Linked DNA regions of Caenorhabditis elegans. The protein of the gene in region 3 purifies or fractionates together with the protein of the main gene of each other region. This does not show direct contact. Each region holds a gene or a part of one and is shown on either strand. Other genes may lie near its edges.

Region 1 (10,262 bases), on a different chromosome or scaffold from region 3:
TTGGGAGAAGGGAGAAGGGGGAAGTTTGCAAAAAAAAAATAGAGAAAAGCGGGAATAAATACGAATCGAACAACAATCGATAGAGAGAGAAGTATTTAGTATCCAGCATTGTTGAGATAGGTTTGCATACTCTCGACAGCCTTGCGAACTTGTGCAGCAACTTCATTTGGTCCCTCGTAGACAGCAATCAAGACTGCAGACTTGGTCTTCACAGCGAAGAATCCAGTGTTCTCCTTTTTTCCGAAGATGAGCGATTCTTCGGTACGTGGAACGACGTAATGAACTCCTTCGATATCGGCTCCTTTTGCTGGAACTTGAGTGACGTCATTGAATAGGGCAACGAAGGTTTTGAGCTCTTCTTCGGATGCCTGGAAATTGGAAAAAATTAGAGAAGTTTTTGGACAGGAAATATTTCTTGTTAAAAAATTTGCGCTTTGAAATTTCCAAAAATTCGAAATTTTAAATCCAGTAACCCTAAAGTTAGCCTTTTTCCCCAATTTTCGCATTTTTAGGCCTCAAAACACTGAAATTTCCAAAAAAATCGGCTTATTCTTGGCCGAGATACTGGAAAATCACAAATTTCAGTCTGTGAATTTACATTTTGCAGGAAAAAATCTTCGAATTTTAATTTTTTTTTTAACGCTTTTTAACTCTAAATTTTCATGAAATTGAAAAATCTGAAAAAAAAAAGTTTAGAAAATTCCAGAGTAGGCAGGCTTCAGGCGGCTGAAATACAAGTAGGCTCTAATGTAGGTATCAGGCAGGCCACCTCGAAGGTAGTCAGGCAGGTAACTTGCCTGACCTTCAAGGTAGCCTAAGCCTGTCTGCTGCCTACTTGGGTTTCGAAGAAGTATAAACTATATGAGAAACAGGGGCTGGTAGGCAGGCACGGCCGCCTGAAGCCTGCCTAATCTGGAATTTTTTAATTTTGTTCGAAAAATAATGAAAATTTTGCAATTTTTGAGTGGATTTGCTAATTATTCCTGTAAAATGTAAATTCAGCGGCTAAAAATTTCGATTTTCAATTCAAAAAGTGAATAATTTCGCGAGATTTTCAGTTTTTTGGGTCAAAATGCGAAAATTCCAACAAAAATCGACCCCGCTAGCTCTTTTCAATCTCAAAAATGGGTCAATTTAAGGATTTTTCAATCGTTTCCAGTTTTAATCGATTTTTTCTCGAGCTTCTTCGATGATTTTCGTCCATTTCCATACCTTGAACACATTGTCAGCCTCAGTACGAGCCCAGACAGATCCATCAGCGGCTCCGACGATTGCACACCGTTTGATTGATGGAGCAGCGGCAGTCATTGTGTCGATGTAGGCATTCCATCCGGACATTTTTGTGTTTTGGAGGAGGTTGAAGCGGAGATTATACTGAAAAAATAAACATAAATTATGATTGAGATGGTTGGAGGGGTAATGAGAAATGATAATATGAAGAAAGAGCACAAATTAGGAGAAAAAGAGCATAAAATCGCTTGAAAATTACGGTTTTTGTAAACAATCGATTATTTTTTGATTTACTGCGCAAAAAATGGAATTTTAATGCCGAAATACCCAAAAATTGATATTTCCGCAGATTTTTTGCTTATCTGTGGTGTAAGTTGGTGGCGAAGAACTTGCGAATGGATAAAATGACAAAAACCAACAAAATCTCACTAAATTCACAATTTTCTCGCCAATGTAGTGCAAAAATTGAGCTTCTTTCATGAATTTCTTGGAAATTTTCTGTGAATTGAGCCGATTTAAACCAAAATTGGCATTTTACCTAGAGTTGACCAATTTTCGATGATTTTCAGACCATTTTCAGGCCAAAAAGGCGGAATTGAAGCTCGAAAACACCGAAAACTACCAAAAACTACGAAAATAGTAAATATTTCGAGTTTCAGATGTAGAAAACTTGGAAAAATTCAGCTTTTGGAAGATCTCGCCTCGAGAAATTAGGACCAACTTAAGGGAGAATTCTTTTTAAAAAAGCAACGTTTTGAGGCGAATTTTCAACTACTAGAGGATTTGAACTATCTAGAGCAATCTGAGAATTTAATTTCACAAGAAAAATGGCATAAAATCGCCAGATGACCCAAAATTGAGAGAAATTAAAGAAAACTTCCAATTTCAAATTCCGAAAGATGAAAATTGCTACGAAAACTAGAGGACATCTTTGACCACCCGGAACACTCCATCTAATTGGCTGGGCAAATGGAGAAGCAGTGAATGACAGTGAGGAAAAGCAATAGAGAGAAGAAGAGAAAGAGAATGTTTGCATGCCATCTGGTGCTCTCCTTCTTCCCCTTTTCAACCCGAACAACGAGCTTGTGCTCCTGCTCCTGCCTGCTTGCTCCGCTGGTCAGTTATTCACCCATAAAGGACGAAAAGAGAGACAGAGACCGCCCATCAAATTGAATGTGTGTGTACTACTAAAAGAGGGTGAAATAACCCGCCTCAATCCATACTAATGTCAAATGCAGTTGCAATTTATATTGAACACACAGACCCAGAGACACAACCAAAGCCAATGATGAATCATTTTGAAGAGAACACAGCGAAGACGACGGAGGAGAAAGAGAACCAAAAGGCGATAGAAGACGAGTTGCGAAACAATTCAATTTGAACAAAGCTTTCTAGCTTTGAAAATTGCGAAATTGAGCGCTGAAAATGGATCTTAATGCCGAGAATGACCAGTGGATTGCGAAATTGGAATGGTGAGTCACATGGAACAGCAGGTCGCCAAAAATCGTCGAGGAAGCTTCAAGTTGTTATAATATTCGCAGTTTTTTCTGCCAAGGAGATCTGAAAGTCATTTAGAAGAAAAAAAATACATCAAAATGCTCAAAAATCATAAAAATATTCGAAATTTTGATGATCGAAGCCCCAAAAAAGTCACGAAATAGTCAAAAGAGCCGCGAAAAACAGAAATTTCGTAGCATTGGCCGGATTTTTCTATAAATATTGCAGAAAACCCGAAGATTTTGTCAGTAAATCGAACGAATAAACTCCAGAAAGCGGAAAATGGGGAAAATGGGGAAAATTTTACATTTTTCTACAAAACACTCACTGTGAGCTGAAATTTCATCAAAAAAAATAGGAAAATTGAGAGTTTTCTAGTCGAAATCTTACGCTATGTGATAATTTTTATAGCTTTTTTATTTTTCTCGATTCACGACGTTATCGGATGCCGAAAATTGATAAAAAACTCTTTCTGAATCACCTATTTCCGCTCCTTCCTTACAGTTTTAAAGCAAGAATGGAACGAACTGAACTTTCCGGAAGAAAATAGGGTGGAAATCAGGAAAATTAGCGAATATTTGCTAGAGAATGAGGAAAATATATTCTGGCAATAACCGAGACAAAACGCGGAAAAAACTGCTGGAAATATCAATTTTGGGAGAAAACGCGAGAATTTTGTGAAAAACCTGCGGAAAATCGGTAAAAACGTCACAAAACCGGCCAAAAAAGTGGAAAAATGAAGAAATTGTCATCCTCTTCGACCAGTTCTCGAAAAACACGACGAAAATTGGCGGGCAGATCAAAAAATTGAGGTCAAAAATCTTTTTTCGCGATCAGAAAATTTTGCGCGTCAAATGGAATGCATCGTACGCAACTCTGCGTACTTAGGCGACTACCGTACTCTTAGCTAAATTCTGCTCAATTTTCGCTGGCTTTTGCCAATTTCTAGTGGAAAAACGTCGGAAAAACTGAAAAATCAATTTTGGAGACAAAAAAGAGGAGATTTTTCAAGAAAAGATGTGTAAAAATGGCGAATTTCAATGATTTTTAAACCATCCCACTGGGCGGAGGAATCTGAAATGATAAAAATAACTATGAATCATCGAAGGGGAGGCGTCTTCCGCCTCTCGTCTTGTGTATTTCTAATGAACAGGAGGCCTGAATTGTTTCGAAAATGGAGAACAGATGGTCTTCTGAGAAAGACGGGCGCTACGCAAGGATCGCCCGCGCACACAATTACGAATGAATTGTGAGGCAAAAAAGTGAAAAAGAAAAGAATAAAAGAGTAAAATTGGCAAGGTAATCGGAGATTTCGACTTCAAGGACACACAAACGCCACGTCAACACGCACAGAGAAAAACCATTTTGTTTTTAAAGATTAAATAATTTATGCTACTTAGATAGGAAGAAATATTTAGTTTACAGAGAAAATTAAGGGGGGAAAAAGAAAGAAAACTTGGAATCATTAAAAAAAATTGATATCATTTATGGAGAGGTTGCACACGGCAGCTGCTAAAACGGAGCTGCAAACGGAGACGGGCAGCTTAGTTGACTCCGAGAAGCTCGACCTCGAAGACGAGAGTTGCGTTGGCTGGGATTTGTGGTGGAACTCCGCGTGGTCCATAGCCAAGATCGGCAGAGATGGTGAGCTTCGACTTCTCACCAACTGACATCTGAAAGAAAAGTTGATTTTTTATATTGAAATTGAGCTAATCGATGGACAAACCTGGGCGACTCCTTGGTCCCATCCCTTGATGACCTCTCCCTTTCCAATCTTGAACTTGAATGGAGTTCCGCGGTCGCGAGAAGAGTCGATCTTCTTTCCGTTCTCAAGGGTGAGCACGTAGTGGCAGGTGACGGTCTGACCGTTCTTTGGCTTGGTGACGTTGTCGCCCTCGACGAGAATCTGTCTGTCGACGCCCATTCTTGCTAAAAGAGGAAATATTAAGATTTATAACTCAGAAATAAAGAGAAAATGGCAAAGAAAAGGAAGAAATTGTTCAAGGGCGAGTTCAAGTTGTTTTTAGGCCAAAATAACAATTATTTTTCAAAAATCGATAATTCTGCCTCGAAAATAAGGTTGCTTTTCTGATTTTCAGTTGATTTACTGATTTTCTTGATAGAAAACTCCAGAAGAATGGCCTAAAACAGGAAAAAACCGGCAAAGTAAACAAAAATCTGATGACCAGAGTTTTAGCCGATTTTAGGCCAAAATAACACTGAATTTTCGAAGAACAACTATTTGTCATTGAAAAGTGGGCGTCTGACATGATTTTTTCGATAAGAAACTCTGAAAAATGACCAAAAATCGGTGAAAAACAAGCAAAAATGGGTTGTTTACGAGGCGAGAGTAAAATCGAACAAGGCGCGACACTGTTCGTGGCGAGATATCGCTGCCGCGAAATTGCATGCGCCTTTAAGGTAAGTGTCTGCGTCTCTTCAGAGAAATTTGTTCTTTCTCGGAAATCGTTGAAAATGAGTTCTCTCGATAGAAATAAATAAAAAAACAAGGAAATTAATAAAATTTCAAAGCATTTTAATTAAAAATTGAAATTTATGGCAATCGTGTCAACAACAAGTGAACAAAAATTAATACCATAGTTTTGATTTTAAACATTTTTCTCCTGGCTACGGTAGTTCATAAAGTACGCAGCATGTATCCAATTCGTTTTATTTTACGCTGGGATTCCTGCTGGCAATTTGCCTTTTTCAAAGCCAAAAGCCGGAGCAATCGTGAGCTTCGACTTCTCTTTGACTGACATCTGAAAGAAAATTGAATTTTTATATTGAAATTGAGCTAATCGATGTACAAACCTGGGCGACTCCTTGGTCCCATCCCTTGATGACCTCTCCCTTTCCAATCTTGAACTTGAATGGAGTTTCGCGGTCGCGAGAAGAGTCGATCTTCGTTCCGTCCACAAGGATGAGCACGTAGTGGCAGGTGACGGTCTGACCGTTCTTTGACTTGGTGACGTTGTCGCCCTGGACGAGAATCTGTCTATCGACGCCAATTTTTGCTGAAAAAGAGGGAATATTAAGATTTATAACTCAAAAATAAGGAGAAATCTACCATATGAGTCCCATGAGCAATTGAACAGCCTAACTTTGCAAGTTAGGGAAGCGTTTCGAGGAATCAGTCCTCTGAACCCAGCGCGGCCGTAACCATATTTGCCACTCACGTGAAATGTTGCGATTTCACCGACTTTCATCTGAAAGAACATTGAATTTTTATTTATAAAAATTGAGTTCTGCAAAAAATCAATAAAAATGTACATACCTTAGGGATTCCGATATCTAAACCAGGAATGACTTCACCGAATCCAATTTTAAAGATAATCGGATTTTGGCTCTCGTAATTGGACCAAGATGTGTAGCAATCCGCAAGCTTAATTTCGATGTAGCACTGAACAAGTTGCCCATTCTCTGGCATTACACCATTTCCAGCTTTGTCAACTTGATGATGAATTCCAGTTTTACCTAAAAATAAATAGAAGATTTCTGATTGAAAAATAAGAAAAGTTTTTGTAATTTATATATCTTCTACACTCCAAATAACAAAAAACTGCGTGGCGTGTACTGCAGAAAACCTAATATTTAGTTAGGCCCCGCATTTTTCTCGTCCACTCACGGAGAAAAGGCAAAAATCGGGATTCCAACCAATATCAGGCCGCCGACATCTCACGGAGACAACTTGCCACGCCCACAGCGAGTTAAACGCAGCGGCGCGCGGTACCCGTGAGATGTCGGCGGCCTGATATTGGTTGGGTTCCGATTTTTGCCTTTTCTCCGTGAGTGGACGAGAAAAAGGCGGGGCCTAAATATTATGTTTTCTGCAGTACGTGCCACGCAGTTTTTCATTTTGAGTGTACATTTCACACAAAATGCGAATTACCTGGTTTTTCGTGCTCACATGAAGATTTTTTGTGGACTACGTGATCCCTCAAGTGTTTTTTCATTCCTTCGTGATTGAATGTTCTCATCCTGCATAGAAGACATCCGAATTCCAGTTCACGAAATGGGATCCGTTTGTATTCGTACTCATTGTACGTCGACACAATGAATTGTCCGACGTCTGGGTTACTCCAAGAAGGTAAAACAGAGTCATCAGTGCTTGCTACTCCATTTTGGTCCTTCATTGTTCTACATCTGATGTTGCTTGATATTGTTTGAAGCTGTTCTCCTTCTTATTATTTCGCGATGTTATCGGATACTAAAATTTATGTTTTTTCAACTTGATTCGAATCAACCACTCCATTGCAGTTAAGGAGCAAAGCGAATCATTTCAGAGAAATGAGAAAACTTGAATTTTTTTTCGTGATTCAGAAAAAGAGCAGATTCTTGGTTACAAATTTCCTCTCTGACAATTTTCAAGAAAAATTGAAAAAAAATGCTGAAAATTCTGGGTTTTGTGGAAAGTGAGGATTTTTATGAGAAACTTGAGGAAAATCTCAAAAATGCCAGATTAAACAGCAGCTGATGAATGGTCAAAAATCGTCGAGGAAACATAAAGTTTCTCTAACTTTTGGAATCGGCGAAAGATACATTTTCACATTTGGAGCAGGGGTGGACGGCTAACTGTTTTTTTCGGCTAACGGCAAATTCGGTTTAAGCCGTGTTTCGAAATTTTAGACTAACGGCTAATTCGGCTAATCGAGAAAAGCGGCTAACGGCTAAAATTGCTGCCGTTTGCATCTCCTCGTAAGGCTTACACTATTTTTTTAAAATATTGTTTTAACTTTGCATATAAATTGATAATTGGAACCATGTGTTAAGCGGATTTCTCAAAGCAAAGAGTCACGGGGAAAGACGACAATTTTTCTTACAGTTTCATCGATGCGGAAAAATCTGTTGAAGCTTAAAAAATGAAACGCTGATAACACATCGAACTCCTACAAGAAGTTGTATTTCCATTGTTCCTTAAAAGCTCTAGCTACGGCCTGAGCCATTATCAAAACATGTACTTAAAATTGTCTTTCAACCTCACGTGATAATTTTTCTAGTCATTCAGTCACAGTCGAAAATTGATAAAAACTATCTCTGAATCAATTATTCATTATCTCATTTCTTGAGGCTATGGTCGAACTGAACTTCTCTGAAGGAATTCATGAATATCGGAATGTTTCCAGCAAATGAAACCCTATTTATATCGAAAAGGTAAAATTGAGGTCACAGATTCTCTATTCAGACAATTATCGAAAGAAAACGCGGATAAATTGTTTATACTTTCAGAGTTTTGGCGAACATTTCGTGAGCGACATGAAGAAAATAGTAAAATCACGACAAACAATGAAGGCATCAAAAATTCGTTTAAAAAAAGAAAACATACATTATCATATTTTTTATTTAAAAAAGTTGCTAAAAATAGCCGACCTTTAAAGATAATGCGAGAAGTTTGTGAAAAATTGCTGAAAATATTAGAAATAGGACAGAAATCGCAACTTCTATCAGAAATTCGGCTAATAAAGACAGACTTCAAATTAATGCGCCCGAAAGGCTCGAAAAGCAAACGCGCTCTGTTGAACACCTTCTGCGAGCGCATTCAAATTTAGTTTTTTCTTTCTTCCAATTTTTTTTATACGGAAAGTGATAGTTTCACACTGTATTTGCAAATTTTAAAGACAATTTTTAACAAGAAAATTTTTTTAATTTTTTAAAAATAAATTCTCAAAAAAATTCCGGTTTTTTTTCAAATTATAAAAACACTGATAAGACTCCAAAATATCATAAGGGTCCCCCCTTATGAACTGAATCTTCAGCTCCAAAGGATCACAAGGGTCCCACTCATGAACTGAATCTTCAGCTCCAAAGGATCACAAGGGTCCTCTTTTATGATCTGAATCTTCAGCTCTAAAATTTTCCCTCTTATGTTTGAAAAAATATTGAAAAAAAAAATTGTTTTGGAATTTTTTCAAAAAGTGTTTAACTTTATAGAAAACACAATTTTGGTAGTTCTTACAAGTTTGGGCATTCATATTGCATTTTTAGCTAAACAATTAACCAAATTAGAGTTGACTGAGCGTATAGACGTCTTACTTTCTAAGACTTATAACTCTGTTGGTGTTTGAATTAATAAAATGTAGACAATTGAAAAGTTGTTGGCAACAATATGAAAAACATTCTGTTAGTGGGTACTTTCTAGTTATCTTTAGTGGCTGCGGAGATGTGAGCTCCAAGACAACCATAATATGCTAGATCTGTGCTCAACAATATCTCAGTTCTGGACAAAGATGAAAAGATGCCTACAACTATGAAAGCGTTTATTGCTTCAAGCTTAACATGGTTGTAGTTGAAGGCTTTTTGATACCTCGTCTCTAGAATTGGATACATCCGTTTTAAGACAGGAGGTTTTATTGTTCAGAGCCCCAAGGAATGCCGGTTTGACTTATAGAAAACACCTTTTTTGGCAAGAAAATGTATAGAAACAACCAAGTAAGTGATTTCTACAATATCTCATGAATATTTGAAAATTTTTGAAAAAAAAATTTTTTCAATTTTTTCAGAAAAAAATCCAAAGGGTCCCCCCTTACAAAAATTTTCAAAATTTTTTTCGAAAAATTTTTTTTGAAAACTTTTCAGATTTTGGTTGGATCTTATAGAAAAATGCAATTTTGGTTGTTTTTTTTCAGTTTGGATGTTCAGAACACAGTTTCAGTCAAAAACCTAAGGTATAGTAGAACTCCTATGTATGTAAATCGAATTCACTTTGGATGCTTACATCTACGTGGAAAAAATTTTTACGACAAAGTGATCAACTACAAAGTTGTTTATCTTAATTGAAATTACAACTTTGTAGTTGATTGTTTTTCATCAAAAAATTTAATGGTCGAGATATGAGCAGAAAAGGATAAAGAAAATTTAAGCATGAAGTTGCTGCATTTAACACAACTTTATCTCGACCATCAAATTTTTTGATGAGATACTATTAACTACAAAGTAGTACTTTAGATTAAGATAAACAACTTTGTAGTTGATCACTTTGCCATAAAAAATTCTTCAACGGAGATATAGGCGTCCGAAGTGAGTTCGTTTTTGAACATAGGAGTTCTACTATACCTCAGGTTTTTGTCTGAAATCGTGTTCAGAACATTCAAACTGAAAAAAACTATAAACATCGCAATTTTCTATAAAATGTAATCAAATTTCAAAAAGGTTTCAAAAAAAAAATTTCGAAAAAAATTTTGAAAATTTTGAAAAAATTTTTTTTTCAAAAATTTTCAAATATTCATGAGATATTGTAGAAATCACTTACTTGGTTGTTTCTATACAGTTTCTTGCCAAAATAGGTGTTTTCTATAAGTCAAACCGACATTCCTTGGGGCTCTGAACAATAAAACCTCCTGTCTTAAAACGGATGTATCCAATTCTAGAGGCGAGGTATCAAAAAGCCTTCAATTACAATCATGTTAAGTTCGAAGCATCTTTTCATCTTTGTCCAGAACTGAGATATTGTTGAGCACAGATCTAGCATATTTTGGTTGTCTTGGAGCTCACATCTCCGCAGCCACTAAAGATAACTAGAAAGTGCCCACTAACAA
Region 2 (10,752 bases), 900 kb from region 3:
TGTTCAAATTCAAATTCAAATACCCTATCCGTCGTCCATTTCTATTTTCCAATTTCCGGCGGCAATTTGATGGGATAGTGATATGACAATCTGTTACTCATTCCCTTTGGCGGTTTTTGTAGAGAACAATTGCACTTTATTCTAGATTTAAATTTGAGTTGGGGAGAAGTTGGACAAGATGGGAACACGGGTGTGCTAGAAATATTATGAAGATTTATGAGGAATTATATAGTAATTAATAAGTAATGAAATAAGAAGACTAGATGCTTAAATTGCTGTTAAATTAGAACTACAACCATGGTTCTTCTTTTCAGCTGTATCGCTAAAGTTTGGCGAGCGGCATTACATAAGAGACGTCACATGGATAACTGATATTTGACTCAGATTAATGCTTATAAATATGTCGTTCGTTAACAAATGTATGCGAAAAGAAGACTTTCCATTTTCGGTGGAAGGACTCAAATTCGGGCTCCATTTCATTGCAGCCCATGTTTCACAGGATCGATTTTAATTCAAAAATGTTTAAATCTCGCATGTGTGACATTCTAATTTCCCCTTGCTCAAGATAAAATCTTTTTTCAAGAACTTGTGTGAACACACATTCGACCTCTAAAAATTCACAAATTCTACTGTCTGCGTTTCATCGCTCCACGTTCTATCTTGCCAAATTTTCCTCGATTAATTGACAGCTTCACAGGAGATAGGTATCTATAGATGGAACCGAGAGGAACACACAATTTGGCGTATGTTATTTATGTATTAAGTTGGCATCGTTCTAGATACTTGTTGGTAGATCGAGGGAAAGTCACACTTGATCCCGGAGAATCGTGGGAAGAGAAGAAGAGAAATTTAAACTAAGAATAGGGAAGATTCACACTTGTTGTCTGCTAAGTGCTAAAACCTAGTGACCTAGGTTATGAACGGGCATTAGATTTGGAACATGTTGTGTAAAGTGGGAAAATTGAAAATTCACAAATTCTCTTTGCAGGGATTTCTGCTTACACTAACTATAAGAAAGTTCAAATATATTTTAATAAGAAGTGTATTAGATAATTAAATTTTAAAAAATTCACTCAAAATCACTGCAATTCTTCCACGCGATATTCCATTCGGATTTTCTCATACGTGCAAACAAACACGTGGAACTTCCAATGAAATCAATATAACTTTATTTCTGTTTTACACTCGCGGAGAATATGGTTAAATCTACAAAGAAAGCGAAGCAGGAAATGGTAAGAGTATATCAGAATCAGACGGCTGGCAAATCGGATGTTTCTCTTTTTTTATGCTGCAATGGTTTACCAAGAATGATTTTTTTGGCGGGGCAAAACCTGAATTTTTTGTAGTTGAGTTGCACTCGCGCTCCAACGCAAATTGAAAACCATAATTTGGTGGTCGTTATGTATGTTAAACTGTGATCTCGATTTCTTATTATGGATGGGACCGTTTTCATTTGACATTGGAGCACAATTGCACTTCCATCTCAAAATACACAGTGTTGGCTCGCTATAATGAAATTCAAAAAAATCTGATACGCAGAAAGGAAAGCCAAAAAAAAGCATAACGTCCGACTTGTTAGCCTCACTCGGACGGCAACTTTCTATCTATACTTCAATTTTTATACAGAATTCCCAACCTGAACAATCAGCAACATTTGACATTTCCTTTATCATCTCAATGCTCGAATCCTCATGCCGTATTCAACTGTCCACAGCTCTACACTTTTTTCGTAAAGCTTTTGCCAATCAGTCAGATTTATCGAACATCGCTCTGAAGGAGCAGTTTTATGGAAGAATTGTTAGTTCCGACGAAATTGTTTCAATTAATTCAAACTCTTTTTTTTAGAAGAATGGCGTTCTCAATGCTCTTCGTAATCAAACGTTAGACATTGACAGTGAGGTTAACGCTGTTTGGATTATCACTAATATGTGTTGTATTAGCCAGGAAGTTACTCACTTGTTTGTAAACTCGGTCAGTCTGAAAATTGATTTTTAGGAAAATTGTTTTTTTTTCAGAATTGTCTAGATATCTTGATCAAACTCGTTCGGTCTCAAAACGCTCGTCTCTCAAGTCAAACTGTTTGGGCAATTGCAAATATTGCAGCTGATTGTTCTTCGTGCAAATTGAAATGTAGATCACCTAAACTTTTGAAGGTAATTATAAGGGTTTGTAGGACATTTTAGAATCCATCCACAGCACAAATGAAAACAACTGTTACGGCTGCATTTAGGCGCTTTAGGCAGGCGCTTCAGGCAAGCGTCTGGCCTTTGAAAGCATGCCTGTCTACCATGTCTAAATAAATTCCAACTTCAGATACTCGCCAGAAACTTACAAACGTCGTATAAACTCGACGATGCAGACCGACGCCAACTCATTTGGTGTGTCAATAATATTTTTTCCGGTGGCCGAACAACGATGCCATCACCAGTAGCTCGTTCACTTATTTGTGCTTTGTCTGCAATTTTACTCGACACAGACGCTGTCGATAATATGGGATGTGGTTCAATGATTTTATGGACTCTTGCCAATTTGGTTGACAACTCACTAGATACCACACGGGTTTGTTTTCGGATTATTGTTAATCAAAGTTCTTTACTAAAACTTTCAGATCGACATGCTTCTTTCCCAAAACTACGTTGTTGAGCATATTCTCGAAAAATTTATTGATCAAACGGACAAGTCATGCAATGTTTCATGCCTCCGCCTTATTGGAAATATTGCAGTCGGGAATGATGTTCAGACTGATCTGTTGGTTGATAATCCCAAGTTTAGAGTTGTTATGGTACGTTTTTGACATCAAAATTGAAAATTAAAAATATTTTTTCAGAATATTGCAATGTCATCTCCGGAGCATCACAGTGAAGCCGCATGGATCATATCAAACGTTGTTGCCGGTGCTCCAAGACACGTGGATTACAGTTAGTTTTATATTTATTTGATTACTGAATAGGATCTATGTTTTCAGTAATGGATGATCCAGATGCTTTCTATGAATGGGTGATGGCTGGGATTCATACTGGAGACAAACGCTTGAGAAAGGTAAGCTGATATAAAATTATATGAACAGTATTTTATTTATTAGACATGCACCACCATTGTTTTACATTGACAGGGCATATATCTCGATTCACTTCCGTTTTATCAAAAAATTGTCAACTGAAGAAATACGTGCAAAATGTTTTTCTACGTTTTGATAGTGAAATTGTTTGATAACACTTGAGACAGTCAAGATATGAGCCGTCAAAGTGAATTAATGAGGGTGCAAGTACAATAGAGACAATACTGTAGTTAGCTTTGAACACATCTTTTGAAACAAAATTTATTTTCGAGCTTAGAAATTATCTATGGTTATTTCAGGAATGTCTGTGGATTATTGGAAATCTATTGGCAACTGCAGATGAGCATCAAACGTATCTTCTCGTCTCCTTAGGAATAGTACAGCATTTTCCAGCTCTTCTCGATTTTGATGATGTTCGTTTGAATGAAAAGGCGGCGACAACTGCAACTGAACTGCTCCGTGAGCATCCATGGCAGTACACATTGTTCCAACGTTTGGATATTTTGGGATGTATTGAGAGAGCTGGAGCAAACGTTAGTTGAATATCCTTAGACTTAACAATCCGTGTGTTTCAGTTTTCGATTCAAAAAGCCGAACTGAAATCTTTGATGAATGACTTGGCGCCACCTGAACGGAAAGATGAAGATATTGCCAAAGGATGTTCTGTGATTTGCTACAGCAAGCTCTCAGACGACTTTCACAGCATGAGCATTTGAATTTACTCGTTTGAAAATAAAAATACGAATTTTGATTGTGTAGGTTTAAAATATCAACCCATCAATCAGCAGAAAATGTTGTCTAATTACGTTTCTGTGATATTTAAAATTACTTGAACATTTCCAATACACCTGTTTTTATTTGTTCACTCGAATTCCAATCAGATTACTGACAGATTACTGGCTCTTCAACTGCGATTTTTCTACCGGTTTGTGTACTCTTTTTGGACAATTAGATGTTATGTGCACTTCCTGAACAGGTGCATAAACAATTGATGAGATGATGATGAATAGATGGATTAGGAATGGGGGAAAGAGGATTTTAAATGTTTTTGGAACATAGGGGGTAATTACCGGTAATTGATTTTTTCCAAATTTCTTCACTCCTAAAATATTTCAAGTTTTCAGGCAACAAAATGTGAGAAAAAGGATTTTTTTAAAGTTAAATATGATCAGTAAAGTGTCGGCTTCCATGATTTTTACAAATACACAATTATTATAACATCTCTTTTAGGTTTTTAGGTAGATTTGCATTAACTTTGCCAAAACTATTCGACTCTTCCAACTACAAAAATGTTTTCCAGTTTGAATTCAAATACCCGTCGTCCTTTTCTATTTGCCAATTTCCGGCGGCAATGTGATGGGATAGTGATATGACAATCTGTTACTCATTCCTTTTGGCGGTTTTTGTAAGGAACAAAAGCACTTTTTCTAGATTTGAATTTGAGTTGGGGAGATGTTGAACGACGACGATGAGCTGTTAGATGTTTTAAATCTTGAATTGTATAGTAATTCATAAGATTAAAAATCAGAAAACTTAAAAACTTAAATTTGAATATAAATATACCATAACTTTATGTCATCGATAAAAATTGGTCACACAGTAAAAACCGAGGGTTGCTGTACCTGGCAGTAGTCTGAAAAAATCAAATGTTAATGAAAATTTCGAATATTAAAAAATTTAAAACATTGCCTAAGTTAAAATTTTCGAAATGCTGAAATGCTTTGGGTGTAATATTTGTTAAGCATATTTCTAGTGAATTTTGTAGTTAAAAATTTCAACACTTTGATTTCGCAATCCCGTCACCCATCTTTTCCCTCTGGGTCTCACGATTTCCCCATACTTTCCAATAATCTTTCCTGTCAACATTCCCATTTCACATGACATTTTCAATTTTAATACTACCTTACTCATAGTCAACATCACTATTTCAGAATTCCACACTTATAAACATTATTGATGATAAAAACTCTTTGATAAGAAATTGATACAAAAACCCTCCTCAGTGCCTGCAATTTCAGTGGTTACTTGTACTGCTAAAATCAATTGCTTTGAACTGAAAATGCCAATGGGCAAGAAGTTGTGTAAGTTTTTAAAGTCGAGAAAAATTTGAAAATGCTCAAATTTACAGTGGGAAAGCTTAAGAGAAATAAGGTGGAGGAGCCACAGGTGGAGCCGGAGGAGGATTTGGGAGATGCTATGAGTACGCAAGGTTAGTAAGGAATTACATTTGACTTTTAGTGTTGAGCGTCGATTGTAGTGTTCGGAAAATTTTAGTTCACTGAACGGTATAGCAAATACGCAAATTTGACGCGAAAACTTTATAAACAACAGATTTGACGAGCAAATTATCGTAATAAATCTATGTGATAAGTCTAGTTTACGTTTGGCAGATTATATTACATACTCGAATGAGATTCGCAAATTTCAGAAAAAGATGACGTGAAAGTTGGGAAGAAAAGAGCCCCGAAGAATAACATGGGTGGAAAGAAACGACTGAGATCCAAGCTGGGAAATGTTGGGAAACACCAGAAAAGGGTACGCTCCAAGGAAAACACTCCGGAAAGAAAGCTGGAAAAATTGGAGAAACTCGAACTTCAACTGACCTTAAAACGAAGTCGAGAGGAGCAGAAACGAGCCAAAAAAGATAAGAAACTGGAGAGAAAAGCACTGAAGATTCAAAAAAAGTTGGAAGCTTTGAGAAGCATCAAGGAAAAACCACATCAAGGCTCTGAAGCACAAGGGCCAAAAGTCCCCAGAGCCAGAAAGATCCGGGTACCAGCCCCAAGACCACCCCGTCTTCCATATTTGGCTCTAGTCGCCAATCTTCATAAGGCTCCGAAAGCATTGCGTGATATGAGAGCTGCTGCTTCACGCCGTTAGTGTGGGCTTTGGATCATTTGGAAGAAAAAAAAATTGTTAAGTGGAAAATTAATAAGAAGAATATGAATCTGGATGTCAAATTTAATTTGTGGACGTTTTGAATTTTTCACTTTGAAGTTTTTATTTGTTAATAAAAAATGTTTGATTCAAAATTTACAAATTTCAAATCAGCATACCAAAATCTTCGAAATGTAATCATGATTCATGAGAGGTCTCGCCATGAAAACTAATGGTTATGGTAGATTTTTTCAATCTTATTCGAAATTTCAATTTGAAACTTGATCTTCAAAGTGAGACCACATTTCCCACTAACGTTTTTTATCTGCTCACTATCAGATCAAATTTAAGATTCAGAAAACTTGCTAGCTACAGTAACCGACACGTTTTGTAGTGAGACCCGATCTGCTTCGTAAAAATTCACATCTGCCTTGTAAGGAGACCTACACCTGATTCCTGCCTACAAAACGTGCCTATAGACTTGCAAAATTATTTCCGATCCTTTAATTGTTTGCAAAAATTCAGATGCCTAGGCAGTAGGCAAGCTTGTAGGCAGGCAAGAATACAGTAGGAGGAAACGTGCTTGCCTACTGGAATTTGGGAAATTTCTTCATAATCCGGTAAATTAAATTTTAAGGAGAATTCAGACTGTTCCCACAGCAATTTAAATCCACTTCCCTTTCCAAATTTCTGTGTCTCACTCCACTTTTGTTATAATTTTACGAATTTTTATTGCTTCCCCTTTTCCTAATTTACAGTATTCCTTGTTATCGAAAATATGTATGAATTCTGAGAAAAATTGGTCAAAAAATATAAAAAGACAAAAAACAATTAGCAGCCCCAGACCATCTCGACAATTTCCCCCATTCATTCTTACTTCCTCCCCACCATCATGGGACAATGCCTTGCCGTTCATCGCCGAATCATGGCGTCACAGGAGTTTCCGAATATTCCTCAGCCGGAGTCGCAGTGTCATGATGCATTTATCCGGTATTCCCCAGGAAGATACGAACGTCGGGCTGCACGATCCCAAGTCGACTATTATCTACTCCCACAGGCACCGCGGTTGATGACTGAGGATTTGGATAAGAAAGAGTTTCAGCGACTCTATGATGCTCGTTGTGAGCTCGTTGAGGTGAGATCTTTCACAATTTAATTTTGAAAAAAACCTTCAATAATTTCAGTGTCCAGCCGGAAGGCGTGCAATGCAACTGGATGTTCAGATCTATGCGGATCGTTATGAGGCGACGCTCAACAAGATTTTGGAGACTTCTCAAGAGCTTGACAAAGGCCTTGAAGACATTTTCCAGGCCTACACAAAAGATGATCCACTGGCTGATAAGGTTATGGTGAGTGGTATTTCGGAAGGGATTAAGGGAAATCAGACGGGTTGCGTAACTGTCAAAATCATTCATTCTGGCGCGCCAAAGTCATGCCCAACTATTGCCCAAGTTTAGCCAACTTCTAATCCAAGTTAATATTTTTTGGGTCAAACTTGGACAAGAAGCTAGAGCCAGATCCCGGGAATGTATCAATATGATCAAATTCCTTAACCTCTATTTTACATGAAAAATTTAATTATATTTAGAACTGCCGCTTGACCGTCGACGAAATGGGACGAGTGTACGAGCACTTCTTCCGCGAATCGGCATGGAACCTTGACAGCTTCGTGGAGTACCGGAAGAATCTGGCACGAGATGCCTACTTGCTGCTTGCGGATCTGAAAATCGCAATCCAACGTCTCGGCATGCACTTCAATCCGAACTTTGAAGACGCGCAAGTCAAGGTGGACTTCCAGATTATGCAGGCCGAGCAGATCATCTTTCACTTCAAAAGGACATACAGGGACGCACTGAAGCACAACCCTGACTCGATTACAGAGTTTGTGGAGGACGAGCTGGAAGATCCTGGAACACCGTTGTAATTTTTATTGTCATTCTTTTTCTGCCGTTTTCTTATCCTTCCCCATTAGTTACTGTAGTTCAGTCTTTTTTGAATTTCAATAAAACTACAACAAAATCAACATTTTTCAGTAATACATAATATTCTTTAATTTTGCAATGTATGTCTAGACAGCCAAGAGTTAGAAGAATTATAGAAAAGGAAGCAATTGTAAAGAAAAAAATACTTTTCGAACTTCGGTTTTCATATTATGTATAATCATGGGACGAATAAAAAGACAGAAAAAAATAATTTAAAAACAATATTTTAATAATTTTGATACAGTGGCCAAGAGGTTTCGTGGTAGGATCCTAGGCAAGAAATGGGTCCTGAGTAGATGTGAAACTTTTAAATTTATAAGCCTTAGATTTGGAAATTTAGATTTGTTTTCAAAATGAAAACATCCGATTTAAGATTAAAATTGAGTGAAACTTGTTGAGAGATTTAAATTATGTCACCATATATTCCAATTGAACAGAATTTTGTGGTTGCTGACCAAGTCTGATGATGAGCCAAAGTATATGGCTAAAAAAAGTAAAAACTACTTGTTCTTCCTGATGCGTCGGTATTGATATTTGACTGTAATCACAAAAACCTTAAACTTCGAAAAATCGAGTACATTTTTCAGCACATGTGTCGTGCGGTGATCTCAACTCATAATTACGCCCAACTTCGAATCCCTGAATTATACCTCATGTGATGCCACATTTTCTCAATTGCTCGTCATGTCTAGCAAAGTGTGTCTGAATTTTATTTCATAACAAATTATAGCAAAAACGTGTAGTTTTGCTGTTTCGCACACTTGATGCTGTTACCATAAATCTGAATCAGTTTTTGAGAGCAGATTTTCAAACGGTTTCAAGTTTTTCAATTTTTTTTGGAAACTCACATCTTAAACCTTGAGTATTTCTTACAAAAACATTTTCCTAATTTTTAAAAACTTTTCATGACGCATGAATGAATGCAAATAACGGAATTTCCAACTTTTACAAAATTTAATTTTAAATTTGAGAAGATTATTGTGGTTATTTTAAAAAAAACATCAACCTTAGCTTTCCGTAAAATGATTTCCGATTTTCCAATTGTTAGATAATTATATTTTCACCTATTTTTTTATGCGGAACCAATATTTGATATTGCAAAAACCATTACCCTTTTTATGAGCTGTTTACCATTTATAATTCCCAGTATTTGCCAATTCAAAATTTCCCACCGGGAAAGTCCTTGTTTTTCTACATTTTCTGTTTTCTGCAACCATTAAAACACTTTTTCATAAAATGCATCATCTTTTGTACATATGTCTTGTGAGGAGCACTACTCATAATTACTCTAAGTTTTGAATCACTGTGTGTTGCCAGGTTTTCATAATTGCGTGTCTAGTAATCTTTCCCTGACATTTTTCAATGAAAAATTCTAGCAAAAAAAACAAGGTTTTGAGGAAAGATAAGCTTTTTGGCAACAAAATAATGCTCTAATGTAAAGATGTAGAGGAGCATAATTTTAACTTCTAACCTACATTTATTTTTAGCAGATTTAGTCAAAAAATATGCACTCTCTTCTCACCTTTTTTACCCTAATCTAATCACCAAAATGAAACATTTCCAGTCTTTAACCCTCGCAAAATTTATTATTCAAATCAAGATAATTTGGGTTATTTTGGAAACGGAAATGTCTAGAAAAACGTGCGCTTTTTAAGTTTAACTGCACTCATGAGCATATCAATTAGGATTTGGTCAATTTTGCGTTTTATCTATTTCCTCAAATTAATATTTTTCTTGCTCATTTATGACATATTTTAGACGTTTCAAATAAATTTAAAAATTCCAGAGATTTTAATTTATGGACATTATGAACAATGTATCAATTCAAGGAGATCAACGATATATCGACTATAAATTTGATTTTTTCACATTTCCAGTGCTTGTTGCATGTGTTCCGATGACATACTTAGTACCAACTGCGTTTATTATTTTAAAAGTTTTCAAATGTTACTATAGGAATTTGGTTGGAAAACAGGAAGCAACTATGAATCCACACGTATTTTTTGTGATTGTTATGGCTCAGCTTACGGTGGGGTTTGAGAGAAAAATAAACTAAAGTGGTTTCGCAAATTCCCGAAGAAATTTAAAAAAGAAAAATCCGACAAACGTTCCTTTGTATTTTTCATTAAAAAATTTTAACACCTATTTGTGAACGTGTCCTGTGAATTTTCAAAGCTCTCTGATACTCTTTTGCTTTAGTATTATCTTATAGTCAGTATTTTAAAGCAATTTACCCATCGCAGCGACAAGATTAACTTCAAAAACACATAAAGTTCATGAAATGGTTCTTATTTTCAGAGCGTATTTTACATGATATCTGATTATATCACTATCCGTCTCCCATTCACCGGAATCATGACATCTTGGTGTGCATCTCAACAACCAAATCATTTCCTAAAAGTCTTATTTTTCTTTTCTATATATTTCACTTATGTTTCATGGCTATTTCCATTCCTTTTATCAACGTTACGATTGATTCCCGTTTATTTCCCGCGCAGACATAATCAAGTAACTCATGTTTTAATATTCAATTGCTAAATTTTTTTTAGCTATGCGCCCGGCTATCTAATTTTGCAATTCCATTCATCTACCTCTACCCATTCATATTTACATTCTCCCTGATACCGGCTCTAGGATCATGTCGACAACTTTTGGGCCCTTATAAATTTGGTTCTATTTTTATTTGGTTTACGGGGAACTGGTTTGATGTTAGCAAATTTAAAATTTATTTATCGAAAAATTCAAATTTTTCAGATAAAGTTGATAAATGGCTTAGTGCTCAATTTGGCCATTTGGCTTCTCCTATGCATTATTTCAAATTTAACACTTTTAATA
Region 3 (11,511 bases):
TGATTTCATTCAGCCAGTATCTGTTGCTACATTCACTTGTGTTAAAAATGCAGGATATTCTTTCGTAATTCCAAGAGTTTTTACTTCTGTTGGAACAGTTGATCATACTGGAATTCAGAATGTGGCCAACGCAAGAGCAGGTGATTTTTGAAGAGACATTTGAATTACAGTACCATTTGATAGTTGGGTAACACATTTTAATCATAATAGAAACATTATCTGTCAAAAATGCAAAACTATTATGCAAAACTATTGTTAACGCCAAGCCAAGAGCCTATTAGATTACGGTCAGCGAGTTCAAATGAGGCTTCAAATGGTAACGTGAGAATTCGAAAGTTTTAAAATTAGTGAAATCAAAAGTATGAAGATAACTTCCGGGTATACTGTTTAAATTTTCAAAGAGGCTTAATGGTTACTGTAGACTCCCAGTGTAGCTAGAAGTTGTTTGATTTTTAAAACACTGTTGCAGCTGGCCTCACTGATGTCGATGGATACATCTTCCCTTGCCTAAAATCGACTTGCGCATCTGCTGCTAACCAAGTTAAGGCGTCTCTTGATGCAGTTAAGGCTGCTGGAACTAAGATCTCCACTCTATGGCTTGATATTGAACGTCTCAATTGGCCAGCTGATCATGCTAGCAACCGTGCATTCATTGAAGCAATGGTCAGTGAAGCAAAGGCTTATGGACAACAAGTTGGAATCTACAGTAACTATTACAATTGGCAAGATATTGTTGGATTGGATTATCATGGACAATCTAGTTTGATGCTTTGGTGGGCTGCATACGATGGAGTCAAGGATTTCTCGAAGTTTGCTGCTTTTGGAGGATGGTCATCACCGACAATTCATCAATGGGAAGGAACTACTGCTGGACCATGTGGGGTCTCTGTTGATATGAACTATGTTCCGTAAATAGTCACTCGAAATGTATTCGTGTATTTCAAATAAAGTATTGAAATATTTTTCACATTCCTTTATTTTTATTTTATTCAGAAAAAGTCACAACATGTGGTAGCTGATGGCTGTTCACAGTTATGAATTCTGCGTTTTTTCTAGTTGTTTATAAGTTTTACCATTATTTGTATCTCTAGTATCATTGAGGAAGAAAATTTCCCTATTAAGTACTGATAACTGTGAACAGATTCAAAAAGATAGTTATAACATTAGGTTTATGTTGTTTTGGATTTAATTTCATATAATTTCTAATTGAAGTTGGTCTTTATAATGAAAAAAAGGAAATAAATTATAAGAAATAACGAAGAGGAATATTGAAAACGCCTAGTTTTAAAGTTGGGGGCGGAATGCTTTGAAAAAGAGAATTATGAAACTTACAAAGGTTTAGAAAAAGTATTCGTCAATTTTGTGTTGGCTCAAAATCTCAAATCTCAAAAAAAAAAAACAAATAGAATATTGGACGACCCTCCGAAAGTCAGAATGTAGTATGTACAAAGAAATCTCTCTGTCAGGTTTTACAACCACCGAGTACGTCCACATTGTCACATGTTGTAAACAGCCGATAGAGACAAAGAGAATCCCGAAAGGGAGGCAACGCAGATTGCTCTCTATTATTTTTACAACCATTCAGTGTTTTGAGGATGCATAAGACAAATACCAAACTGCCGAGTATACAACGTCACACTCGGAATAAATAAAGATGATTTATAGAGTCAACCGAAAAAGGGTACATGAGGTGAATACTGGTTCAACCTACCTACAGTCCTGCGTACAGATTTTCTACTCTGGAAACTTTGGCTATATATTTTTGGGTTTTTTATAATTTTAAATCCCGATTCACGAAAGCGTTCTCAGGGCGAGAGCCCGATTCCGCGAAAATGTTCAACGTTTTCCAATTTCCATGTACTCCTTGGCTATAGTGGACCTGTCTGAATTTGTGCTAGACCCAATTAGAAGACAAAGAATATAAGTACAGTAAGTGGAAACTAGAAAATGGTTTGGAAGCCAACATCAGTTGCAAAACCACGTGCAATCAAACAAAACCAAATAATGATAGAGAGAGAAGGAAACATATGATAATTTAGTCTAAAGATAATTTAGATCAAATTCATGTTGGATTGAACATCTTGATTAAGAATTCAGTCGTAGATCTATTCTCAATATTTGTTATTTTATCATTTTAACAATATTTATTAACGAATTGAAATGAAAAAAAAAAGAAACAAAATATTGAGCTCTCTTGAAATTCCTGATTTTATCTTTCCGCTTGCGTCAAAGTCATAAAAGTCTCCGGTATCTGGGAAGTATAAAAGAAGTGTATGGAGTCTGAAATGTCTGGAGAAACATGAAGCATTTTTTCATTACAATCCTTCTTTTCTGCAGTGTTGTAAGTGCAGCTAGAAATGGAATTGATATCAATTCACCAGTATCCACTTCTACTTTTACTTGTATTAAGAATGCTGGATTTTCATTCATAATTCCCAGAATTTATCATTCATCGGGAAGTGTAGATACTGTTGGAGTGCAAAATGTCAAGAATGCCAGAGCTGGTAGGTTTTTTAATGAATTAATATGTATGCTGTGAATCATATTCATTGAATGCCCTATATTTATTTATGAATACATTAGAGACTTACCTTAACTATTAAGGTTACTGTAGGAAAATGCGCAAAATATTATATTCTGAATCTTCGCTTTCTTGGAATTTAGGATGTGGCAGCTTTTTGTGGAAATTTTTTACAGTAGCTTCGTGGCGAGAACCACCATTTGAATAGGACAAACGACAACTGAGATATTAATTGTCAAAGTTGAACAATGGGATGCAAGACTAATAGAGGAAATATTACATATTAAAATTTTCGAGCTAAAAATATTTAAATTATGTCTATAGAAAGGTAACTTCATTTTAATTATAATAGAAACATTATCTGTCAAAAATGCAAAACTATTATGCAAAACTATTGTTAACGCCAAGAGTCGAAACTCCTATTAGATTACGGTCAGTGAGTTCAAATGAGGCTTCAAATGGTAACGTGAGAATTCGAAAGTTTCAAAATTAGTGAAATCAAAAGTATGAAGATAACTTCCGGGTATACTGTTTAAATTTTCAAAGAGGCTTAATGGTTACTGTAGACTCCCAGTGTAGCTAGAAGTTGTTTGATTTTTAAAACACTGTTGCAGCTGGCCTCACTGATGTCGATGGATACATCTTCCCTTGCCTAAAATCGACTTGCGCATCTGCTGCTAACCAAGTTAAGGCGTCTCTTGATGCAGTTAAGGCTGCTGGAACTAAGATCTCCACTCTATGGCTTGATATTGAACGTCTCAATTGGCCAGCTGATCATGCTAGCAACCGTGCATTCATTGAAGCAATGGTCAGTGAAGCAAAGGCTTATGGACAACAAGTTGGAATCTACAGTAACTATTACAATTGGCAAGATATTGTTGGATTGGATTATCATGGACAATCTAGTTTGATGCTTTGGTGGCCTGCATACGATGGAGTCAAGGATTTCTCAAAGTACGCTCCATTCGGAGGATGGTCGAAGCCAACAATTCATCAGTGGTCTGACACCACTACTGGTCCGTGTGGAGTCTCTGTTGATATGAACTACATTCCATAAATAATTTTTTAGCGCTTTAATAATAAAGTGTATATTTCAGTAAACAACATTCGTTCATTATTATGATTTATTCATTCCTTTAATAACGTTTGAGAATTGCTCCGAGCAATTCAAAGTAATCTGAAAAGCATCGAAAATTACTTGAAATTTAATAAGGAAATTCAGTTTTCGATGACTAATTTTTATTTTGAAACTACTAGAAAGTCTATTCCAACTTTTATAATAATTTCTGCAATAATTATTGAGGAATTCCTTAAGGAATGATACAGTACGCAAATGAGGCATGTACGTTATTATCAATTTTTGTGGAGTATTTCGTCAATTGATCACATTTTGATGCCATCGTCGGTAGCAGAAATCACGTGCAATCAAATAATGATAGACGAAGCAAAAAGGTTGATAATGTAGTCTAATGTGCGAAGTTCAAATTGCTAATCGAAAAATAAAACACATTGGGGAGTTGGGTTTTCAGAAAACTCGGTATATTTGAAATCATCTGAAAATCGGCTAATGACTTTTAATACAATTCCCGGTATTTTTTAGGAAGATGTACCGTCAAAGAGAATAAGTCATGAGCTCAAAAGCTTTCTAGGTCACAGCCGACCTGTGATCTGAAGCAGGGAACAAATCAAGAACATAATCACGTTTTCAAGCATCTAACTTTAAGCACCTTATGTTTTCTCAGCTTTTCACGCTTCCAAACAGATTAATTAAGTTATTTTCAATAAACTGTATAAACTTCAAAAAATTTACAGATAAACAATGAATTTCACAATGTTTGGATTGAAAAATTGATAATTTCTTTAGTGTTAATTTAGGCAACGCCAACAAACCACGCACAAGCCTGCTGCCGGGACCATTAGCTTGTAGAAATAATACAGTACTCGGGAGGGTCGAAGGTTTCAATTTTAGTTCTTTTGATCTCATTGTTGCAAATATTGAAAAACGACGAGAGATAACGGTCGAGAAACCCCGAGAAATATTTTCGAAAATGAGACGAAAGTGTAGTTGCTCTCCATATTTTGTTTCATATTTTACATCAGCCTCTGAATAAAACAAAAAAGATAAGAGAAGAGGGTTTATGAAGTTTTTGATTTTATCTTTCCGCTTGCGTCAAAGTCATAAAATTAGAATCTCCGGTATTTGGGAAGTATAAAAGAAGTGTGTGAAGGCTTAATCAGGGGAGTTCAGAGAATCATGAAGTTCTTCGTCTCGGCTTTGCTTTTGATCGGTGCTGCAAGTGCAGCTAGAAATGGAATTGATTTCATTCAACCAGTGTCTACTGCTACATTTCAATGTATTCATAAGGCTGGATATTCTTTCGTAATTCCAAGAGTCTTTACTTCTGTTGGAACTCTTGATCATACTGGAATTCAAAACGTCAAGAATGCTAGAGCAGGTGAGCATTTCAGATGGGTATCAAGGAATGGTTTTTACCATTTTCAAAATAATTTCCATTCTTGGCAATTTGGTTCTCCTTTCCCTCGCGATTCTTCGCCTCACACTTCTAACTTATAGGTCTGTGCATACTTCCTAGTATAAGTTATGAGTATTAAATTTGTAAGAAAATACTTAAACTAACAAAATCTTATCTCTTTTTCTTATTTCTTTTTGTTTGTTTAAAAACTGCCATCAAATAATTCAAATACACATATTCCCAAAAGTCAAGATGTAGTGGTCAATGAAATATCTTTTCGTTACGTTTTACAACCATTCATTGTCCCCTCTGACTGTCTAGTTTACCAGGGCATGCATTGTCACATGATTGTAAACAGAGTATGGAAAAATAATAATATTCAAATATATTTGTCAATAGGTTGAATATAGAATTCAAAATTTAAACTAATCTTGCTCTTTAATATGTTTTACAAGTATACATACAATGCATCTAGTGAGTGAAACAATATATTACCTCTTGAAACTAAAAAATGAAAAAAAAAATTACAGTTTCTTTCTAAGTATTATTGTCCAGAATAGCAGAAAATTCCAATTTAGGTGATGGTTCGACTGAAAATGTAATATGAATGTTCAAACTTGTAGGGACTACCACAATTATGCTTTTCTAAAAAATTAAACATTTTGGAAAAACTTCCAAAAGAAAAGTTTTAGGTGAAAATTTTTTCAACCATAACTAATCATATGATCCTTTTGAGCTGAATATTGAGACCGTAAGGGGGCCCTTATGATCACTTTAAGTTGGAATAATCAGATCATAAGGATGAGCTTTATAGTATTCCAAGTCAATTATAAGCATTGTACGGGTTCGAACATTCAAACTGATAATATTCCAATTTATTAAAACATCTGAAGTTTTCTACAAGTTTCATTCAGTACCAAGCTAATTACAAATTTTGCAGCTGGCCTCACCGATGTCGATGGATACATCTTCCCATGCTTGAGATCTAACTGCCCATCTGCTGCCAATCAAGTTAAGGAAACTCTTGATGCTTTGAAGAGTGCAGGAACTCATGTCTCTACTCTCTGGCTTGACATTGAACGTCTCGCTTGGCCAGCTAATCACGCCAGTAACCGTGCATTCATCGAGGCAATGGTCAGAGAAGCTCAAGCTTACAAGCAACAAGTTGGAATCTACAGTAACTATTACAATTGGCAAGATATTGTTGGATTGGATTATCATGGACAATCTAGTTTGATGCTCTGGTGGGCAACCTATGATGGAATTAAGGATTTCTCAAAGTTCGCACCTTTCGGAGGATGGAGCAGACCAACAATTCATCAATGGGAAGGAACCACTACTGGCCCATGTGGAGTCTCTGTTGATATGAACTATGTTCCATAAATAGCTGACCAAAATGTATAAACATGAATAAACAAATTTTTATATGTAAACCCATACATTTTCGCTAGTTTCAGACGCGCAATTGATTTCTTGATTTTTTGAAACAATTTAAAACTGTAAAACTGACAACAAATGGGTCAGTTTTAGAACATTCGAAAATTATGTTTTATTTTCAATAATTTTTTGTTACTTATTTAAAAAATTTATCATTATTGTTCGGAGACTTTAATTATATTCTCATTCAGAATTGTTTTCTATTTTTTTAAATCTAGACCTGTGAGTTTCAAGTGAGTTTCGGCCAAAATAGTAACATCAAAATGGCTTTACATTTCAAAAAGCAGATACGGTAAAACTTAAATTTTTGTTCTCTTTTCTTTCAAAACTATTATGTTGTTGATCTTCTAGACACGTTGTCAAGTCAAAATGCGTAGTGATGACGTCACTTGGGGTAACCTTGAATTACACAATTGACCTCAATCGAATCAAAATTAAAGTTGACGAGTACAAATATTTAGTCTTGTTTTTTTGTTTCTCCATCTCATTATCAACATTTCAACATGCAACTTCTTGCGATTTCTTTCTTATTTATAACTTTTATTATTGAATCGGTGAGATTTTTTGAACCACTGTAATTTTAAGATTTTATTTTTACAGATAATTTGTTCTGGATATCTAGAATTACATATTCAAAGTCCTCATATACAAACCGCAATTGTGAACATCTCATCAAATTTTCGAACAGAGAAATCAAAAATAGTGCATTTAAAACTTAAATCTAATGTACCATTTAACGTTACAAGGATTCCTGTGAACTTTGATAATATCTACAATATAACCATAAAATGTGGAAAATCAGAGGAAGATGGCAAGTTTAATTCATATTTTAAAAATTCAACTCCAAAGTATTTGGGTCTAACTGACACAACAATTGTCTCAACTGTTCACCCACGTGTTGGGCTGTTATCACCGGCTGCTGTAGCCAGACCTTTAAATGGAATTCGAATCGTTATTGGTTGTAATAAGTAAGCTCGTTTGTCTTGAAATTGGATTAAATGTTTGTCACAAGACAACTTAGAAATCACACGGTACTGTAGAAAAAAAAGTAAATATATCTTGTGAGCATGTTCTAGAAATCTAGGATTTCGTCTGGAAATTTTTTATTTGGAATTTTGTATTCCGTGCAATTTCTATTGATGACAGTGAATTCTGGTTATAGAGCTAACGGAAAAATTGGAATGTTGCTCAAATTCTTTGTTTATACTTGACATACTTGACTACGGTTCTATCATAAATTTCATTGTAAAATCTAGCTTTTGAAGAAAAGTTTGTCAAAATGTCATTTTAGGTCCTACAACATTTCAGTTCATGATTATTACGGCTGAAAGTCTGAAAGTCTAAAAGAGAAAATATACCATTTTTAAATTTTTTTTTGAATCTGTATCATTGTTTTAGAAATTGGTTTGGTGAGAAATGTGAAACTTTTTGTGATGAGAACAAAGCAACCAACTCGGGAAAACACTGCAATTTTCAAGGAAAACCAAGTTGTTTGAATGGATTAACTGGGTCAAAGTGTGAAAAACGTGAGTTGCATATTTTTAAAACTAATCTCTACGTGAGTTTTATAAATTGCAGTCATTGTTCCAAAGTTGTGTAACTGTGAGAATGGTGGAGTTTGCATTGATTCAAATCCAAAACCAATTTGTGAATGTTCGAAAGCCTATCGCGGTGAAAAATGTGAAAAGAAGCATATATCAGCGTCTCTTTCCTCACATTATAAAGGAGACTTTTGGAATTTTCGAATGACATTTTGGCAGTTGATATTCTCGAATTTAGTTGAGAATGAGTTGGCAGAGATTAGCAAATCGGAAGCTTGGGAAACAATTAATAACCTATTGGGAAATGTTTCTGATACTCCGTTTGCAAATCGTCCAAATAATACGGAAACATTCCCAATAACTGGTTCTGTTAATCTTGATAATGTTGATATCATTTAAATTTAAGTTCTATAAAATCATTTGAAGTAAATAAAAACATTCACAGCTTTATTGTGATTCATTGTGACAATTTCATGTATAAAACAACTGAACCATTTATTTATCAAAATATTGTACCATTTTAATAAATTTTCAAGCTCTAACAATTGAAGTTTGCCCTGAACATTAAAAAAATGGAAAGCTGCTGGAACATTTTAAAAGTTGTTGTTTTTCTCTTAGTATTTCCTAATATTTTTTAGATGGTTTCCGATAGTTATGGGAACGTTCTGCTACATTTTTAGTGTTTTTTTTTATTCTGAAAACTCGTAAAAGTAAAACCATAAATTTCATAATTTTTGAGAAGTATCAAAATTTTCTAAATTAACGTCGAAAAGTTGTGTATTTCTCAAAAGGAACTCATCGCGTTTTCCTGGTAACCTCTCTTGTCTTTTCAATAATACGTCTTCCCACATGCAGATTTGCAGGCAACAGTGGTCAACTACTCAAAGGAAAGCGACACCAATCTATATAGTCTCCCCAGAGAGAGAGAGGAGAGAGAGAGAGAGAGAGATCTTCCCAGAAGCCTGGTTGTGTATGTGATTCTATATCGATCGCTATGTGCACACCGAAAACGCCGCGTTTGCAGCCCCCTAGACCGACTCCAATGTTTTCGGTCATTCATTTTTTTGCTTATCCCCCCTTCTTGTGAGTGCGATCCACTCAAATATAAAGGGTTCCTGGCGAGGGCCATCTGATTAGGGTGCTTGCACTAGGCCAATTTGGGGACTCGTGTTCTGTGGATCAGTTAAGGAAAACAACCCTAGGTCTTTTAGCTGGTTTTGCTACAGCTTTCTTTTTTGTCCTGAGTTGATTAGTTTGAAGAAGATTTCCGATCAAAATTTTAACTTTTTAGCTAATTAATTTTTTTTTCAAAAAAAGAAGAGTTGTAACTCTTCTAATCTTTCAAAGTTTTTTAAAGTGCTCTTCTTGTGATTTTTCAAATTTCCATTCTCTTCTCCCCTTATCCTTCTCCCTTATCCCTTCCCTTTTACCCTCTCCCCTTCCCTTTGCAAAATCGATGAATGGATGGATCGACGATGGATGGATCGACGATGGATGGATCGACGATGGATTTTGACAACTGTAATTGGAACAGTAATCTCGATCGAAGGATTTCTCTCTCCTTCTTTTTTCCCATTCCCAATTTCCAATTCTCACATAGATAGAGCACTCTTAGTCTTATAGTCTGAAACTTCTAAGGACAGAAGTTTCTTAGAAATAGTTCTTGTAGTATTCAAAGTTTTCTTTTCCAAACAGAAGTTAGTTAATTTATCTAAACTTCTAAATTCTGTTATTTATATTAAACTTCTACACACAGAAGTTAACTTCTACAAACAGAAGTTCAAATATTACACCTTTTAGACAACTGTCTAAAACGGAAGATCGGAATTGAGGCTTAAGCTTTTCTTATACCGAACTCAGAGGTAGTGAATAAAGGCTAATTGACCAATAGGGAATGCTAGTACTTCTGATCCTAGATGAACAATGTAGAACCGATGTTGTGTCTTATCGGGTGGTTTTTGCTATATGGTTCACTATTGAGTGATATTGTGCAGTCCTAACGGTATAGGACATCACTTGAAGAAGCAACTCCTATTCAAAACTATCGCCACCAACTGCATCAACAACAAGCAACAACAGCACGACGAAGACGGAAAGGAAGAGGACGACGACGAGGAGGTACGTAAGATTTTATTTCTAAATTTTCAAAATTTTTGATTCAAAAATTCGAACTTTAGTTTACAAAAATCAAAGATTCCAAAAAGTGGAATCATTATTTTTTGCCGAAACCGAATTTTTCTTTTTCAATCCTGAAATAAAATTTCTGAAAATTCAGGATTTTTTTCGAAATAAAAGCTCTCACGAGTTCCAAATAGTTTCGGGGAGAATCATTCGGTCGGGGCATTCCGGATTGGCCCCGCCCACAGTTCTGTACCTTGCAAAACGGTTTCAAAAATGAAACATGGATTTTCAAGGCACAGTTCTGTGGGCGGGGCCAATCCGGAATATCCCGACCGAATGACCCCCCCCCCTCCTCCTCCGGCATTCTTTCTTCCCAGGAGTCTTCTTCCCAGGAGGCCAAAGAGGTCTTCTGATGGAGAGGGGGAGAGCTGACCGCGTGCTCTTCTACTTCCCAGGAGCAAACTTTTCGAATAGGCGACGCCGTGTAATGAATTTCCTTCTCAAAACGAATAATTCCGAAATTTATAGAATAATATTTTTGCGAAACTCAAAAATCAACATAAAAATCAAAACTCAGTCAAAATTCGAGCAATAAAGATTCAACAAAAAAACTTGAATCAGCATTTCAAAAAGTCCAGATTATTTCAAAGAATTATTTATTTCCTGCTTTACAAAAATGTGGTTTTTTACAGATTTCATAATGGAACGAACGACGACGGAAGGAAGAAACCGGTGGCGATGGTCTGGAGTTGAATTGGATCGAGATCACACTCACAAGATCTCGAACCACAATGGATCGAGATGGAACGATGGACTCGAATGGAACAATCGGGATCAGCGGACAGGATGGATCGAGATGGCGGATGGACGACGACGACGACGACGACGTCGACGAGGACGACGTCGACGACGAAGGATGGATCGGGATGGATCGGGATGGATCGGGATTGATCTGGATGGCTCGGGATGGATCGAGATGGATCGGGATGGATCGGGATGGATCGAGGTTAATCGAGGTGGATCGGGATGGATCGGGATGGATCGGGATGGATCGGGATGGATCGGGATGGATCGAGGTGGATCGGGATGGATCGGGAGGGATTGGGATGAATCGGGAGAAGGCGACGACGACGACGACAACGACGACGACGACAACGAAGGATCGGGATGAATGGAGGCAATCCGAAAGTTCGGAAAACGGTAAGAAAAGATTCGAACGATGCTTCAGCTAAGCTGATTTTTACAGATCGCCGACGAGAGCGACGATGAACGATCGGGATGGATGAATCGGGAGGATCGGAATGTATGAAAGGATCGGGACGAAACAACGATGGGAATGGGAAATCCGAAAGATCGGAAAACGGTAAGAAAAGATTCGAACGATGCTTGAGCTAAGCTGATTTTTACAGATCGCCGA

Evidence for each region.
Region 1: the proteins of lys-4 (region 3) and fkb-2 fractionate together in Caenorhabditis elegans (co-fractionation; one large-scale study listed by BioGRID). This does not show direct contact.
Region 2: the proteins of lys-4 (region 3) and F53B2.8 fractionate together in Caenorhabditis elegans (co-fractionation; one large-scale study listed by BioGRID). This does not show direct contact.

Annotation. Positions count from the first base shown.
Region 1 is NC_003279.8:12,913,116-12,923,377, reverse strand, and holds fkb-2 (peptidylprolyl isomerase), read right to left. Parts: upstream 4,657-10,262; 5' UTR 4,652-4,656; coding exon 4,454-4,651; intron 4,401-4,453; coding exon 4,272-4,400; 3' UTR 4,098-4,271; downstream 1-4,097. Other genes in the region: pfn-1 (Profilin-1), read right to left, coding at 96-368, 1,213-1,338; fkb-8 (peptidylprolyl isomerase), read right to left, coding at 5,403-5,489, 5,542-5,744, 5,798-5,936, 6,005-6,204, 6,620-6,863.
Region 2 is NC_003282.8:12,521,585-12,532,336, reverse strand, and holds F53B2.8 (Coiled-coil domain-containing protein 86), read left to right. Parts: upstream 1-4,940; 5' UTR 4,941-5,117; coding exon 5,118-5,139; intron 5,140-5,186; coding exon 5,187-5,267; intron 5,268-5,486; coding exon 5,487-5,938; 3' UTR 5,939-6,106; downstream 6,107-10,752. Other genes in the region: F53B2.5 (Importin subunit alpha), read left to right, coding at 1,197-1,232, 1,627-1,797, 1,846-1,971, 2,016-2,153, 2,314-2,559, 2,609-2,782, 2,828-2,918, 2,966-3,039 and 2 more; Protein eak-4, read left to right, coding at 6,828-7,070, 7,120-7,284, 7,524-7,859; sru-13 (Serpentine Receptor, class U), read left to right, coding at 9,716-9,946, 10,216-10,425, 10,467-10,625, 10,672-10,752.
Region 3 is NC_003282.8:11,616,363-11,627,873, reverse strand, and holds lys-4 (LYSozyme), read left to right. Parts: upstream 1-4,699; 5' UTR 4,700-4,775; coding exon 4,776-4,977; intron 4,978-5,568; exon of another isoform or gene 5,569-5,589; intron 5,590-5,935; coding exon 5,936-6,378; 3' UTR 6,379-6,445; downstream 6,446-11,511. Other genes in the region: lys-6 (LYSozyme), read left to right, coding at 1-140, 470-912; lys-5 (Lysozyme-like protein 5), read left to right, coding at 2,300-2,504, 3,136-3,578; dsl-5 (Delta-like protein), read left to right, coding at 6,936-6,986, 7,033-7,400, 7,831-7,958, 8,011-8,372.